Linked DNA regions of Cricetulus griseus. The protein of the gene in region 1 purifies or fractionates together with the protein of each later gene. This does not show direct contact. Links are inferred from orthologs where the notes say so. Each region holds a gene or a part of one and is shown on either strand. Other genes may lie near its edges. The genes, in order: inhibitor of Bruton tyrosine kinase and Rpp25l.

Evidence for each region.
Region 2: the proteins of inhibitor of Bruton tyrosine kinase (region 1) and Rpp25l purify together in Homo sapiens (co-immunoprecipitation; 3 studies listed by BioGRID and IntAct, with this or other methods). This does not show direct contact. The link is inferred for Cricetulus griseus from reciprocal best matches to the Homo sapiens genes IBTK and RPP25L.

What each region holds. Positions count from the first base shown.
Region 1 is NC_048597.1:195,936,448-195,943,644, forward strand, and holds part of inhibitor of Bruton tyrosine kinase, read right to left. Parts: intron 2,402-7,197; 5' UTR 2,045-2,401; coding exon 1,721-2,044; intron 1-1,720. UniProt on the Homo sapiens protein: Acts as an inhibitor of BTK tyrosine kinase activity, thereby playing a role in B-cell development. Down-regulates BTK kinase activity, leading to interference with BTK-mediated calcium mobilization and NF-kappa-B-driven transcription.
Region 2 is NC_048595.1:100,886,720-100,893,427, forward strand, and holds Rpp25l (ribonuclease P protein subunit p25-like protein), read left to right. Parts: upstream 1-2,581; 5' UTR 2,582-2,618; coding exon 2,619-2,750; intron 2,751-2,766; exon of another isoform or gene 2,767-2,959; intron 2,960-3,165; coding exon 3,166-3,690; 3' UTR 3,691-3,963; downstream 3,964-6,708. Other genes in the region: Dctn3 (dynactin subunit 3), read left to right, coding at 694-753, 919-1,008. UniProt on the Homo sapiens protein: May be a component of ribonuclease P or MRP.

The DNA.
Region 1 (7,197 bases):
AGCAGAAGCCCAACATAAACAGAGAAAAACTGAAGACCTGACCAGTCACCAGCACCAATTAACCTCTAATGAGGTCTCCACTCTGCACATGCACCAAAACAGCTCTCCAAGCCTCTGGGGGAGAGGTATAAATAGGGTACTAGAGGTGGAAACCTGAGTCTTGAGAATCCTGGGCAGTATTCTGCCCCTAAGCTACATCTCCACACTGAACCTCTCTGGTATCAGGTGCTGTCCAATTCATGAATCATTCTTTTTTCAAACAAATTCTTTCCAAGGTTTCTTCTGACACTAACATACAGCGCACATAACATACTGTGCACACAACATAAAATTGCACAACAGCTCATTATTATATGTTGGGAGCTTTGATGTATATTTGAAATTTTACATAAAACATATAAGTAAATAAGATCTATGGTACTTTAAATCTAAAGATGAGTTATAACAGTAACAGTATCAAACACATATAAACTTCTCTTAGAAAATGCAACATGAAATAGATTAAGAAAATCACATGCCTAAACTCCAGCTACAGAAGCAGATCAGTGTGCCTTGCTCTGCCATCATTAGAGAAGTTTCCTCCTGCAGTAGATAGAAATAAATACAAAGACCCACAGCCAGACAATATGCAGAGAGTGAGAGGTCTTGGAACACTCAGCCCTAAATGGGATAGATCCATCAAATCCCTCCCCTCGGGGTTCAGGAAATCCTGTGGAAGAGGAGGTGAAAAGAATGTCAGAGCCAGAGAAGACAGAGGACACCAAGGAACCATGACCTTCTAGACAACAGGACTGAAATACATCTGAACTCACAAAGACTGGGGCAACGTGCACTGAGCCTGCAACACTCAATACCAGAGGGGGTCCAGAGCTGAAAGGAGGAGTAGACACATGCCCCCACCCCTAACCCAGAAGCTATACTCCAATTGACAACCACCTGCAAATTTAGTTTTCTCCAAGGGAGTCTCACTGGGGAAAGAAACTACTCCTAAGTGCAGGCTATGCGTCCAGCAGATAGCCAAAAGAAAATAAACTCAATGGCAACACTGGAGATTCTTTGTCTTATAATGTTATATCCAAACATTTTTTTTTTAAATTTTACCTATTCTTTACTTTTATTTATCTTATATTTTTTCTATCTTTTTACTCTACAGGTCCTTTATGTATATAATATGGATTACAGTTTAGCAATTTTTTATGGGACTCCTGAGTGTGGAAACCAGTAGTTCTCTGTTTCTTGTGCCTTTTCTTGGGCTCTTTTCCTTCAATTTGTTCTGTTCAATTGCAATGTGTTAGTTTTTGTTTTATCTTATTATACTTCATTTTATTATTATCCTAGAAAAGCCTGCTTGCTTTCTTTCTTTCTTCCTTCCTTCCTTCTTTTTTGGTATTTTTTTCAAGGCAGGGCCTCACTGTATAGCTTTGGCTATCCTAGAACTCACAATGTAGACCAGGTTGGCCTCAAACTCAGAGATCTGCCTAGGTGCTTTTGTCTCCCAAGTGCTGGTAATAAAGGCATTAACCTAGATTAAAGGTGTGGCTTGTTTACTTTCTAATCAGAGACAGAAAGGAAGTGGATCTGGATGGAAGTGGAGATGGGGAGGAGGTAGGAGGAAAAGAAAAAAAAAGTTTGTGTGTGTGTAGAGAGAGAGAGTACATTTTCAATAAAAAGGAAAAAGAAAAGAAAAGTGAATGTCAGTTTTAGATAAACTGACACTTACCTTCAACAGAGACCAAGTGCAATCAATATGTCCATAAAAAATGCTCCTGTGCAATGCTGTCCAGCCTGACTCCTTGTCTTTCACCAGCAAATCCACTCCTTTCTCAATAAGCCAATCTAACACTCCTTTCTTCCCACAGGAGGAGACCAGGTGCAGGGCATTCCTACCAAAGGCATCCTTGACAGTTGCAGCATTGTGACAGTGACTGGAGAGGAAGGCCTTGATCTGGTTCTCACTCCCCTTTGTTACCACAGAAAGGACATCCAAAGCATGCTTCAGCGATCGGCATTTTGATGTGCAGTCAGGGGTGGCAGAATCCATCATAATTGCTTTTGTATTGCTTACTCCTTCAGAAGAGTCACTGAAGTGAATTTTAAAAATGAAAAAGATAGGACCCAAAGATAATATTCAGAAGAATTACCAAGAAGATATGACCCTTTGGGGTATTTAAATAGTCACAACAATTATATAAAACTATATATCTTTGTATAATCTTTTGGCACTTCAATCAAAAAGTTATAAATAGTTCTATAAAGTTCATATCAAATACAAGTTCTTCATTTAAAAAAAAATCCCAGTTTAGAAATTATTCCTAGAGTCAAGCACCAAGGGGGAGTGAGGAGGGGAACTCCCCCTCCACACCGTCTGAGCCTTTCAAATATCCATAATTGCGAGGGTGACCTGTAAGAAAACAAAGGAAAAGCGAAATTACAAATCTAACTCTCTTGAAGTACTTTACAATGTAAATAGCTCCACATCTAAATGCCTTTCATTCATTAAAAAAAAAAAAAAGGCTATTAACCTTTCTATGTTGGTCTCTTTCACTGCCTCCTCTACCTTTAAACTCTATAAGCTACATCCCCAGAAGCTACAAACACTTTCACATCTATTATCTTCAAGAGAATGTCTTCCAACGGGCCACCCCCAAAAACTACATCATAACCATTACCAAAACAACCCATTACTCTGGTTTACTTCATGGCAGACAATGTGTCTGCTCACCTGAATGGCCTCTTGTCATTGGGGGAAATAATTAAACTAAGAGTATCAGAAAAACTGAAAAGCTATCTGGAAAAAATAATTTTTGACACTTTATACCTATATTAATATAAACTCTAGATGGTTTACAAAGACAAAAATGCAGCCATGAAAACATACAAATTAGTTTATAATCACCATGCACAGAAAGTGTGATCTGAAATCTCAAAGTATAAAATGATGATGAGATTCAATACAACTAGTAAAACTATATAAAATGTTAAAGACAAAAAAAAAGGAAAATCTTCCTTCCCTAATACATAGTATGTAAACCTTTCCTTTGTAGGGTGAAAACCTTTCCTTGCTATCTATTCTTTGGGAACAAAAACAAAAACAAAAAACAAAAAACAAACAAACAAAACAGTTACAAGACTCTTTAGAGTGAGGCACAAGTGCACTGTGTGTACAGTGGAAACCAGTATATTAGATACAAATATCGAAGAGTCTAGATATGTTATTTCCATACCCACCTGAAACCCCAATCAAAGTCAGAAGTCTTACATGGAACTGGCTTTCTGACACTGACTATTCTGATGAGAGCAATGAACTACTTGAATTCTAATTCTAACTCCAGGTCTGTTTCTGCAAACCTATACAGTTTTTAATTGAACACACTCCCACAAAAACAAAACAAACAAACAAACAAACAAAAAACCCACCTACTTCAAAAATCTTAGTTTGAAACTAAAAGAAAAGAATAAAAGTCTTTGGCATTTAAATGGCACCAAGAAAAAGGAACCAATGCCTTCAGTAGTTTAAAATGCTAAAACTAGGACTGGTGAGATGGCTCAGTAGTTAAGAGCACTGACTGCTCTTCCAGAGGTCCTGAGTTCAATTCCCAGCAACCACATGGTGGCTCACAACCACCTGTAATGAGATCTGGTACCCTCTTCTGGCCCGCAGAATACTTCATAGGTAATAAATAAGTCTTTTTAAAAAATGTTAAAACTAAAAGCACAATATATAGCAAAATAGTCAACTCATTAATTTTGTTCTTCCAAAGCTCTAAAACCCACCCCACTCTTGCATGTTCCACATCAGGGTGGGTTAGATATTAGAGAGCATTTTGTGCTTGAAGTGGACATTTCACCAAATCCTAAAATGGCAAGGCTCCTGGCTTCGGTGATGGGCTAATTAAAAAAAAAAAAAAAAAAAAGTAAGGGAATCAGAAACAAACATAGCAAGCTATACTGGTTTGAATGGGAATGGCCCACATATTTGTATTTTTTTAATAATTGGTCCCCAGTTGGTGGACCCATTTTGGGAAAGATTATGAGGTGTGCCTCAGAAAAGACATGTAACTGGGAACCAGTTTATAAGTTTCAAAAGACTCTAGCCACTCCCACTGTCTCTCTCTGCCTCCTACTTGCAGATAAAGATGTGAGCTAGCTCTCAGCTATTCTTCCCACCATGCTTTTGCTCTGCCATGATAATAGACTCTAACCCTCTGAAACTATCACCTCAAATAAACCTCTTCTTTTACAAGTTGTATTGGTCATGATGTCTTATCACAGTAGTAAATAATGCACAAACAAATTACAAATCAAACTTTGTCTTATACATGACATACATATGAAATGCTGAAGAGAAACTGAGCTGGCAAAGCATAGCTAGCCAGCTTAGCTACTGGCAATGGTTCAACCCCAATGACTGTCCCACCACAAAGATTTTAGCCAGTCAACATTGAGTCCTGAACAACGGTTCACTGGCCTTATATCCATCAATAATTAAGAGTATAATTATATTTTTTAACTAATCTAATCACCTACTCCCTTAATATATCCCAAACAAAAGAAAGCGGAAAAACAAGCAAACAAACAAAAAAACAATGTCTCACATGTTAAAAACAGCTTTAACTAACAGTTAAATCAACAATCTTACCCATCTGAACTTTGTGAACTACAACAACCAGTCTGACAAGATATGTTCACTGTTGTAATAGTGGCACACATGTTATGGAGTAAACACTTTCTGATTGGACTTATTGCTTGTTTCATAAGACGGAGCTCATATGTGGCACCACTAATGGGGCCAATTAATGGTTGGGTAGGTCATAGGCCCTAGCAGAGAATCTACTACTATTATTCTGCTAAATGAGAATAACATTTAACCGACTTCTAAGGACTTCTCATTATATCCATAGATCACTGCATCTCTCAACCTTCATCACAGCATCTTTTAGTAGTAGATAGTGATGAACACAGAGAGCCACGGGGCAGGTCAGCATGCAGCATTTAAGAGACTGTGGAATGTTCACTTCCAAATGAGGTTTCTGGATCATCTTCCCAAGGCTCAGGGAGCATTGTGGATGACTAGATAAAATAATTTAAGAGCCAGAGGAAGTATACAGCAAAACAGTGATTTTCTGAACACAACATGATGGTTGCACATATGAACTCATAGCCACTGTGACTGCATGAACATGATAAAGCCAGACAAAATCCTAGCATGGGGCAGGGAGGCAATCATGAAGTCACTTCCCTAGCTGAGGAGCTACTAATAATTGATGGCTGATAGGAGAAAGTCACTTTCATCAGGGGTGTGGCTCCTGAGAGGCTACCCATGCTCCAGTAGATGGCCTTACACCCATACACATACAGGCAGCATTAAGTGGCCTAAGTGAGTTTGTTTGTTTGTTTGTTTTTAAGATATTAAAATGGAAGAGAACAGTGGTGAGAAGGAACTGGAGGGGAAGAAATGGAAAGTAGGTTTAATCAAAAGACCCTATATGCATGTAAGAAATTCTCAAACAAGAAAAAAAATACCGTTGGAAGCCCAGGTAGAGTTTCAGATGGGCACAGGTATTTGTGGTGGTATGAATGATAATGCCCCCAAAAGATCCAATGTTTAATGTCTGGTCCTCACTTAGTTGAACAGAGTTAGGGTGTGGCTATGTTGGGAAAGTGTGGCCTTGTTAGAGGTATGTCATTGGGGGTGGGCTTTGAAGTTTCAAAAGCCCACACTAGGCCCAGTCTCAGTGTCTCTGTCTCTCTGCCTCTATTTGGAGGATCAGACTTGAGCTCTGAACTACTGCTACAGAGCCATGCCAGCATGCCTGCTGCCAATGCTCCTTGTCAAAATATCAAGGACTAACCCTGAAACTGTAAGCACGCTAATAACAATTCAATATTGTCTATAAGTCACTTTGGACATGGTGTTTCACAATAGCAGAACAGTAACTAAGACTGTGTAATAGAATACACAATGCTCAGATTCTGAATTCAGAACACCCAAGCTAGTTAAGGCAAGTACATAACTACCTAAGGACCCTGAACATACCACTTACTTTCTCTAAGTTTCAATATTTTCACTTGTAAAAAGGAGATTTAAAGGTATCTCTTGACCTGTTCTAAGACATCTTGGTAAATAAGTCAGAAAACATCTATACTATATTAGGACCCTTTCTTTTTGAAATACTTGTCAACCAAATCTTTAAAAGGCTACGTTTCAGTGCTTATAAAATAGTATCTACCATCTTTTGAACTTTCATATGGACATGTACATACAGAGCTTTACCTAAAGTAACGAAGTCTCATTTCAACCCTACTAGTGACTATAAATATGACTACCTTACCATGAGGAAACAAGTAGCCTACCTAAAAATCATACAGAGAGAGGAGTGCCCTGGATGGCACTTGTTAAACAACTGGCTCTCAGACAACATTTAGGAATGTCAATAGGATATAACACTGTGTAGTCAAGAAAAACTGTCCTTGGGGTTGCTACACCTAGAACCATAGACAAGTGACTCGAGGTCCCTATTCCTCCATTTCTTCCTTTGTGAGCTACTGACAATGACCTCCCTTGGAGATACATGCCTTGCTGACATGTGTCCTTGCAGGATGGGAGGGAAGCACGTTATACTTCCTCTTAATTTTCACAATCAGTAAGCAGGACTGTTTTCACTGAGCTCTTTAACACCAAAACACCTCCCCTGTACACCTGTATCTTTATTAATGTAAGTGCTACAAGCTGCAGATTACAAGTCATAATCAGAGAAAAGTTTTTATAAACCTAAACACATTTTTAAAAATAAGCACTTACAATGGTTTAAATAATTTAGTTCTATTGATACTGTAATTCATATCGTTCTCAAATATTCTCTGTGTAAAAGACCTAGAAACTTAGTTTAGGTCAGTATCTATCTCGTTTTCATAAAAGAAAATCTGCCCAAAATTTAGGGGGCAATAAGTGCATCCGGATGTGGCAAAGCAGTAGTCCCCCGTAATAAGAAACTAATTTGTGTCACTGAAAGTAACAAGTCATACCGACATCCTTTAGTAAGTACACTCATTCAGTCTAGAAGTTTACAATCCAGAAGCATCTTGAAAGTTAAGAAGGAAGTGAAATCATCACACAAAAATTAGCATACCGAAAGTCCTTCAAAAAAGTTTTATTAAAAGTGAAAACCAACATAGCCAACCTTTTTCTTCAAACTG
Region 2 (6,708 bases), on another chromosome or scaffold:
GGGTGAAATATCTTTTCTCAAGTTCAAAGACTTTTTAGGAATAGGGACAAAGGGGCTGGAGAGATGGCTTGGCCCTTAGAGTTACTTGCTCCTCTTGCTGAGGGTCTGGGTTCAATTCTCAACACCCACATGGTCACTAAAAGCCCACCTCTGTGTAACTCCAATCCCAGAGGATCTGATGTCCTCTTTTGGTCTTTTGGGTACACACACACACACACACACACACACACACACACACACACACACACACACACACACACACGGAAAACACCCTAACAAATAAACTGAAAATAAATCATTAAAAACATAGGGACAGCGGGTGGTGGTGGCACATGCTTTTAATCCCAGCACTCAGGAGGCAGAGACAGGCAGATCCAAGGCAGCCTGGTCTACAGAATTGAGTTCCAGGACAGGCTCCAAAGCTACACAAAGAAACCCTGTCTTGAACAAGCAAACAAACAAACCATAGGGACAGAAGAGGAGGGGATCCTAATGTGTAGAAACCGCCCCTCCAGTTACTCTTTGGGCTGCTGTTCAGGGCACCTGACCTAGGATTGGAAGTGCCTGTTTTGCAGTTTTCTCCTTTCGCTCTAGGTTATTTAAGCACCATCTTTTTTTAGGTTTGGAGGGAAGGAGTTCAGTGGGAGATGAGGCATTATTCCACTCCTTTCTAAGCTATGCTTTGGCCTACAGGACCAGTGTATGGAGATCAGTGAGGAGTCCAAGGCTCTCCTGGAGGAATATAACAAGACTGTATCTTTTGTGCTTAATGGGCCCTCTCCCAAAGCCTGTTTCTGCTGCCCCTAATGCGCCCATCCCATTCTCTCCTCTCCTCTCCTGCCTTCACCGCTTTGGGCACATGCCAAATCTCTGTGCTTCCTCATTCACACTCCTGTTGTCACCTTGACTTCTGACCAGACAATGCTTCTCTCCAAGCAATTCGTGCAGTGGGATGAACTACTCTGCCAGCTAGAGGCTGCCAAGCAAGTGAAGCCAGCAGAAGAATGACAGTTGCTTACTGTGCCAGGCCAGGGAAAGGGGGGCCAGCTCCAGGGCCCTGTGCCACCCTGTCTTTGTGAGGCAGAGACAGCTTTGTATTTATTCAATTCAAAGACTACCTGTCTGCTCAGTTGGGGCTCTGAGGTCAGAGATCAGGTTACCTTAGAGTCATGATTTGCACTCCCCATCAGTGTATTTATTCCAATGACAATAAACTGTAGCTACCGCTGAAGGTGTGTTTTGGCTTGCTGATCTAAGATGGGCTTGGCTGTGAGAACTGGAATGGTGAAGGGGAGAGCTGTCACTATCAGGGTGGGACCTGGAACTACTCCTGGTCGAGCTTCTGAAAGATGTAGTACTCTTGCATCTGATTGATACAGTGGGGCATTGTATATTTATCCCACATTTTCCAACTGCCCTCTAAATATCAGATCCTACGGCACGTAAGGAGGGCACAGGTAGGGTCACCTCATTTCTGTATAGGGTTTGGGGGAAGACCAAGAAAGTGGTAGTCCTACCAGGTGGGGCTCAGCATGCCAGGATGATCATGGAGGAACAAGCAGGGACGTTCAGAGCCAAGGCAGCATAGCCTTGTGTCTACCGAATACCAGAAGAGGAGCCAAGAGGCTTGGATGCAGTGAATTTTAGGATCTGGGAAGGAGGAGCAGATGATGGGAAAGCTTGGATGAACAGTTTAAGCACCGCGCTCCACCAAGTGTATGCTGCCCTCTTGTGGCCTGAGGGAGTGCCTCGGCTCCTTCAACTGCCTGTAGACCAACCAATTTGTAGTTTTGCTGGCACGCAAAATGCAGCTTGTCCAAAACGATCTGAAACTAGCAGTCATCCTAGACTATTCCAACAAATAGTTCCCGGCTCTTTCCCAGAACTTCCTACGAGTTTTTACCAAGTTAATTAATCTCTTCTCAATTCTTGCCATTTCGGTGGTTAATCAACATGTTGGACAGATGTTGCAGAACCTGTTTCACTCTGAGTACTGTACTAGGTTCCGTGGGCACCCTCCTACCCCCGCGCCTGACGCGTTATGATGGTGCAGGGTACAGACCCTTCCCAAGGTCACGGTATCTGTTGCCCCCACTACCGGATCCTCCTAGCCTATACGCCAATCTATGGCCAATGAGTTGTGCACAAGTTATGGCTTAGTCCCTTCTGAAGACTACCAGGGTTGTCCAGTGCCCCAGGATGAGAACAAAGCTCAGAACTAAGGGTCTCGCCCGCTTGTATCCACCAATGCTTCAGCTTCTCCTTCACCGATGCGGTGAGTCAACAGGTGACGCGCACCATCCATCGTTTAAGGGCACAGATTCGCATTCTTCATGCTCAGGACTCCTCCGATAGCCATTCCTCTCCCGGGCAGGGCCCTCTGCGGGTTCTGGCGTGCTTCGGCATCACCGCGGACCGCGGGATGCGGGCCAGCTGCGGGTACCAGCTCAGCTGAGCCCAACGGCGTCCCGGGTTTCCCTCAGGCCCCGCCCCCTGCGTGCGCGCTCCCGCGGCCCCGTGCGCTCCCGGTCTGCGCGCCATCTTGGGTCGAGCGTGGACGGGCGGTAGTGGTAAGAGCCAAATCCCAGGGCCTGGGTACTCAGACGTGGGGAAAGGGGATGTCTGCTGCCTGGGACAGCGGCCCACGACCGGGGAGCCCGCCAGACCGTCCATGTTTGGTCCGAGCAGTGGTCTGTGCGAGCCCCCACTCTCGAGTTCCCGAATGGCCTGGCTCAAGCCCCCCAACCCTGGTAATCTAAGGATGAAGTCTACTCAGCCGGCCGAGAGCCCGGAGGGGCCGGTTCTTTCTTTAGGGAGTACTTTGTGAGAGTTCGTGGCTGTGCCCCAGGCAGCCTGGGGCCAAGTCTTGATTCTGTTTCCTGGAAGCACACAGTGAGAGGAGCTTGTCCGAGTCCTTGGAAGCCTAGTGAGGAAAGGCTCCTGTTTTAGAGAGTTGTGGGTGAGGAGGGGTCTGGCCTAGCCCTGAAAAGCTTGAGCTGATGAAGCATGGCCCTATCCCGGATAGCCTGGTTTGGGGAGTGGGGGGAGTTTGGTTCTTTCCGTGTGTAAGACTCTCCAGCCTTGGGGTGAGGGGTATATCCTGGAGGGAGTGATGGAGGATGGACCTGGTCATAGTCCTGACACTCATCTGACCGCTTCCCCCAGTGCACAGCAAGAGAGATTCACCAAGGCCACCGGAGCAGAATGGAACACTACCGGAGGGCTGGCTCTGTAGAGCTCCCAGCATCTTCACCAATGCCCCAGCTACCTCCTGACACCCTGGAAATGCGAGTCCGAGATGGGAGCAAAATCCGAAACCTGCTAGGACTGGCTTTGGGTCGTTTGGAGGGGGGGAGCACAAGGCATGTGGTGTTCTCAGGCTCTGGCCGGGCAGCTGGGAAGGCTGTCAGCTGTGCAGAGATTGTCAAACGGCGGGTCCCAGGCCTCCACCAACTCACCAAGCTTCGTTTCCTGCAAACTGAGGACAGCTGGGTCCCAACCTCACCAGACACAGGCCTAGACCCCCTCACAGTTCGACGTCACGTGCCTGCAGTGTGGGTGCTACTCAGTCGGGACCCCTTGGACCCCAGTGAATGTGGCTACCAACCCCCGGGAGCGCCCCCAGGCCTGGGCTCCATACCTAGCTGTGGTCCCAGACCCCGAAGAAGGGCTCGGGACACCCGGTCCTGAAGACCTGCTGAGCCTGACTGTACTCTAGACCTGATTCTCTGTGCCTTCTGTAAGAAGGGCTTGTGTGACACTTAACATGCCAGCAAGGCTTGAGTCCACTGGAGTCCTGCCTCCCCTCCCCCCTGGGATGCGGGATGCTATGAAGAATGAAGGGCATATGGGGTCAGTGCTGAGTTACAGACTGCTTGAGAAGGGCTTACTCTGTCTACAGTATATCTGACTTGCCTTTTTTGACATCAGTCTAGGAGAGGGAAATAAAGGTCATGCCCATTTGTTTGGCCTGCTTGTGTGTAAGTGGGATTGGAGGGGTGTGAGGCCCGCCTTGCCCCGGAGCTCATGGCCTGGAGGCCAGAAGGGTAGGTAGAGGCCGCTGCTGGGTGGATCTGGTGTCAATACATTTCAAGCAGTCACCTGCATGACTTTTTGCCACCTGCTTTAAGCTGGCTTGGGACTCAACCAGGTCAGGCATTTCTCCCATCTGTGTCATATGTTTTAGAATAGTGGGATCATGAACTCGGGCTTTGCCTGTCACGGTTTTAGTCCTGGCTCTCCCACTCACAAGTTACTGCTTTGTAGTTTTGGATAAAGCTACTTCCTGGACCTTTGTGCTCCCATCTGTAAAATGGGGTGTAGAGGGTTTACCTCATTGGCATTCTTTTTTAATAATTTATGTTCATTGGTGTGAAGATGACAGATTTCCTGGAGCTGGAGTTACATACAATTGTGAGCTGCCATGTGTGTGCTGAGAATTGAACCCAGGACCTCTGAAACAGCAGCCAGTGCTCTTAACTGCTGAGCCATCTCCAGTCCGCCCCCCCCCCATTAGAGTTCTTATAAAGAGGTGTCCATATTTGACACTCAGATACCACCTGAGCACCTGATGCTATATAAATGTTGTAAGTGACTTAAGTTTACAGACATGCTGTTTTTTATCTTGAAAGTAGACCTCAATCCCACATCTTTCTTTGGGTGTCATTCTTGCCTTTTTTCCATTGCTGTTTTTTTCTGCCTCACTTTGGCCTTGGATTCAGATTTACTGCAGGTATCTGAAGAGAGAGAATGGTTATATTGGTAGTCAGCAGGCTCCAGGTAATAGAGTGGAATTGTAAGCGGCAGTGGTCTCAAGAGTTGATCAGCTACACTGTGAATCAAGATTTTCTCCAGGGTGTCTAGTAACCTGGATGTCCAATTACACGCAAATAAAACTGGGGCTCTGTTGGGTTCATGTAGCAGGATCCAGCTAGTTGAAGGTGTTAGGCAGTTTTTCTCAGTCTGGGCAGGAGAGATTGGCATGATGGGAAAAAGTTGGGGAAATTCAGGACTTGATATGGGCTTCAAGGAGGGATGAGTGACCATAGGACCATGGAACTGTGGCCTGAACTTTAAACACTACATCCTTTGCTTTCCAAGGTAAGCTGTCCCTCAGTGAGAAGGGGCTTGAGGGAAAGGGGCAAGTCAGGATATTGGGAGAGGTGAAATCTCGGTAGCTACTCTACCAGACCCTTTAAATACAGAGGATCCTGAAACAGGTAACATAACTGCTGAAGACAGTTAAACTGCCGTGCCGTGTTATACTGCCAACAACTGCCTGACCTCTTCAAGCTTTTAGCTAAAGACTCTTCGGCTTCTACCAACTACTCTCTTCAACGAGTGTGTCACCATGCCCTGCTCTGAATATCTTCACTGTGTATATTTTGTTGTCAGAACTTTGGGCCACATTTCCTTATAGGTTATTGATAAATTTTGTTGTTTTGGGGTTTTGTTTGTCTGTTTTTTGAGACAGGGTTTATCTGTGTAGATTTGGAGCCTGTCCTGGATCTCACTCTGTAGATCAGGCTGGCCTCAAACTCACAGACATCTTCCTGCCTCTGCTTCCCAAGTACTGGGATTAAAGGCGTGCGCCACCACTGCCCGGCAGGCTATTGATATTTTTTTGACCTAGCATCTCATCCTGATCACTTTGCTTTGGCAGGTTGAAGAGATTGCATGTAATAAACACAATAGCTAAGTTGGAGGGGCGATTCAGGATAACTATGAGCTCTGGAGATCAGAAAGGGACTCCCAATTGGGCTGCTTAAATAGAAACCACCTGAGAGTTCCAGAATGAGTGTGGAGGAGTGTAGAGGGAAGCACCTGTGGTAAGAATCCCTTGAGAGAACAGGTTCTAGGGTGCTTTCCCTAACCTTTGGCACCTAGAGAGTCTGCCTGGCTCTGACATCTTCAGGAGGAATGCCCCAGAGGGAACCAGAGATGAAGCCTGGGAAGTGAGCTCAAGCTTAGGAGAGAACCTGAGGGTTGTACATGGTTCTTTACGTCCCCATTTCTCCTTAATCCACTGTAATGTGGTTCCTGCTTCCATAATGCCTTTAAAAAGCTTTCCCTGGGGACAAAAGGTAAGGAGATGTGGGGATATCCCTTTCAAAAAGTAGAATAGAGCTGGGGAATTAGCACAGCAGTTACGAGCTCTGCTCTTCCAGAGTACCCAGGTTCATTCCCAGCAGCTACATGGTAGTTTACAACCAACTTTAACTGTAGTCCTAATGAGATCTGGTGCCCTCTTCTGGGGTGCAGATGTACAAGCAGATGAAACACCCATATACATAAATAAGAAAAACAAAACAAACCACCTGTTCAATTCCTGGGACCCACCATGCAGCTCACAACTGTCTGCAACTCCAATCTCACCCTCTTGTGACCTCAGCAGGCACCAGGCACACATGTGGTTCACAGACATACATGTAGGTGCAGAGGTCAGCGAGATGGCTCACAGGATGGACTCTCATCACCAAGCTTAACCTGATTTCAATCCCAGAACCCATGTGGAAAAAGAGAGCTGACTTCCACGAGTTTCCCTGGCCTCCTTGCAAATGCACACACAGGCAAATTTAAAAAATGTAAGTAGGAACAAAGATGACTTCCTGTAACAGAAGGGAAAGAGTTGAGGGCAAGCAAGCGTGCAGACGGTGTGGAGGCGACAGTGGGATATGGGAGTTCAGAAGTCCTTTGATCATGAAGCAA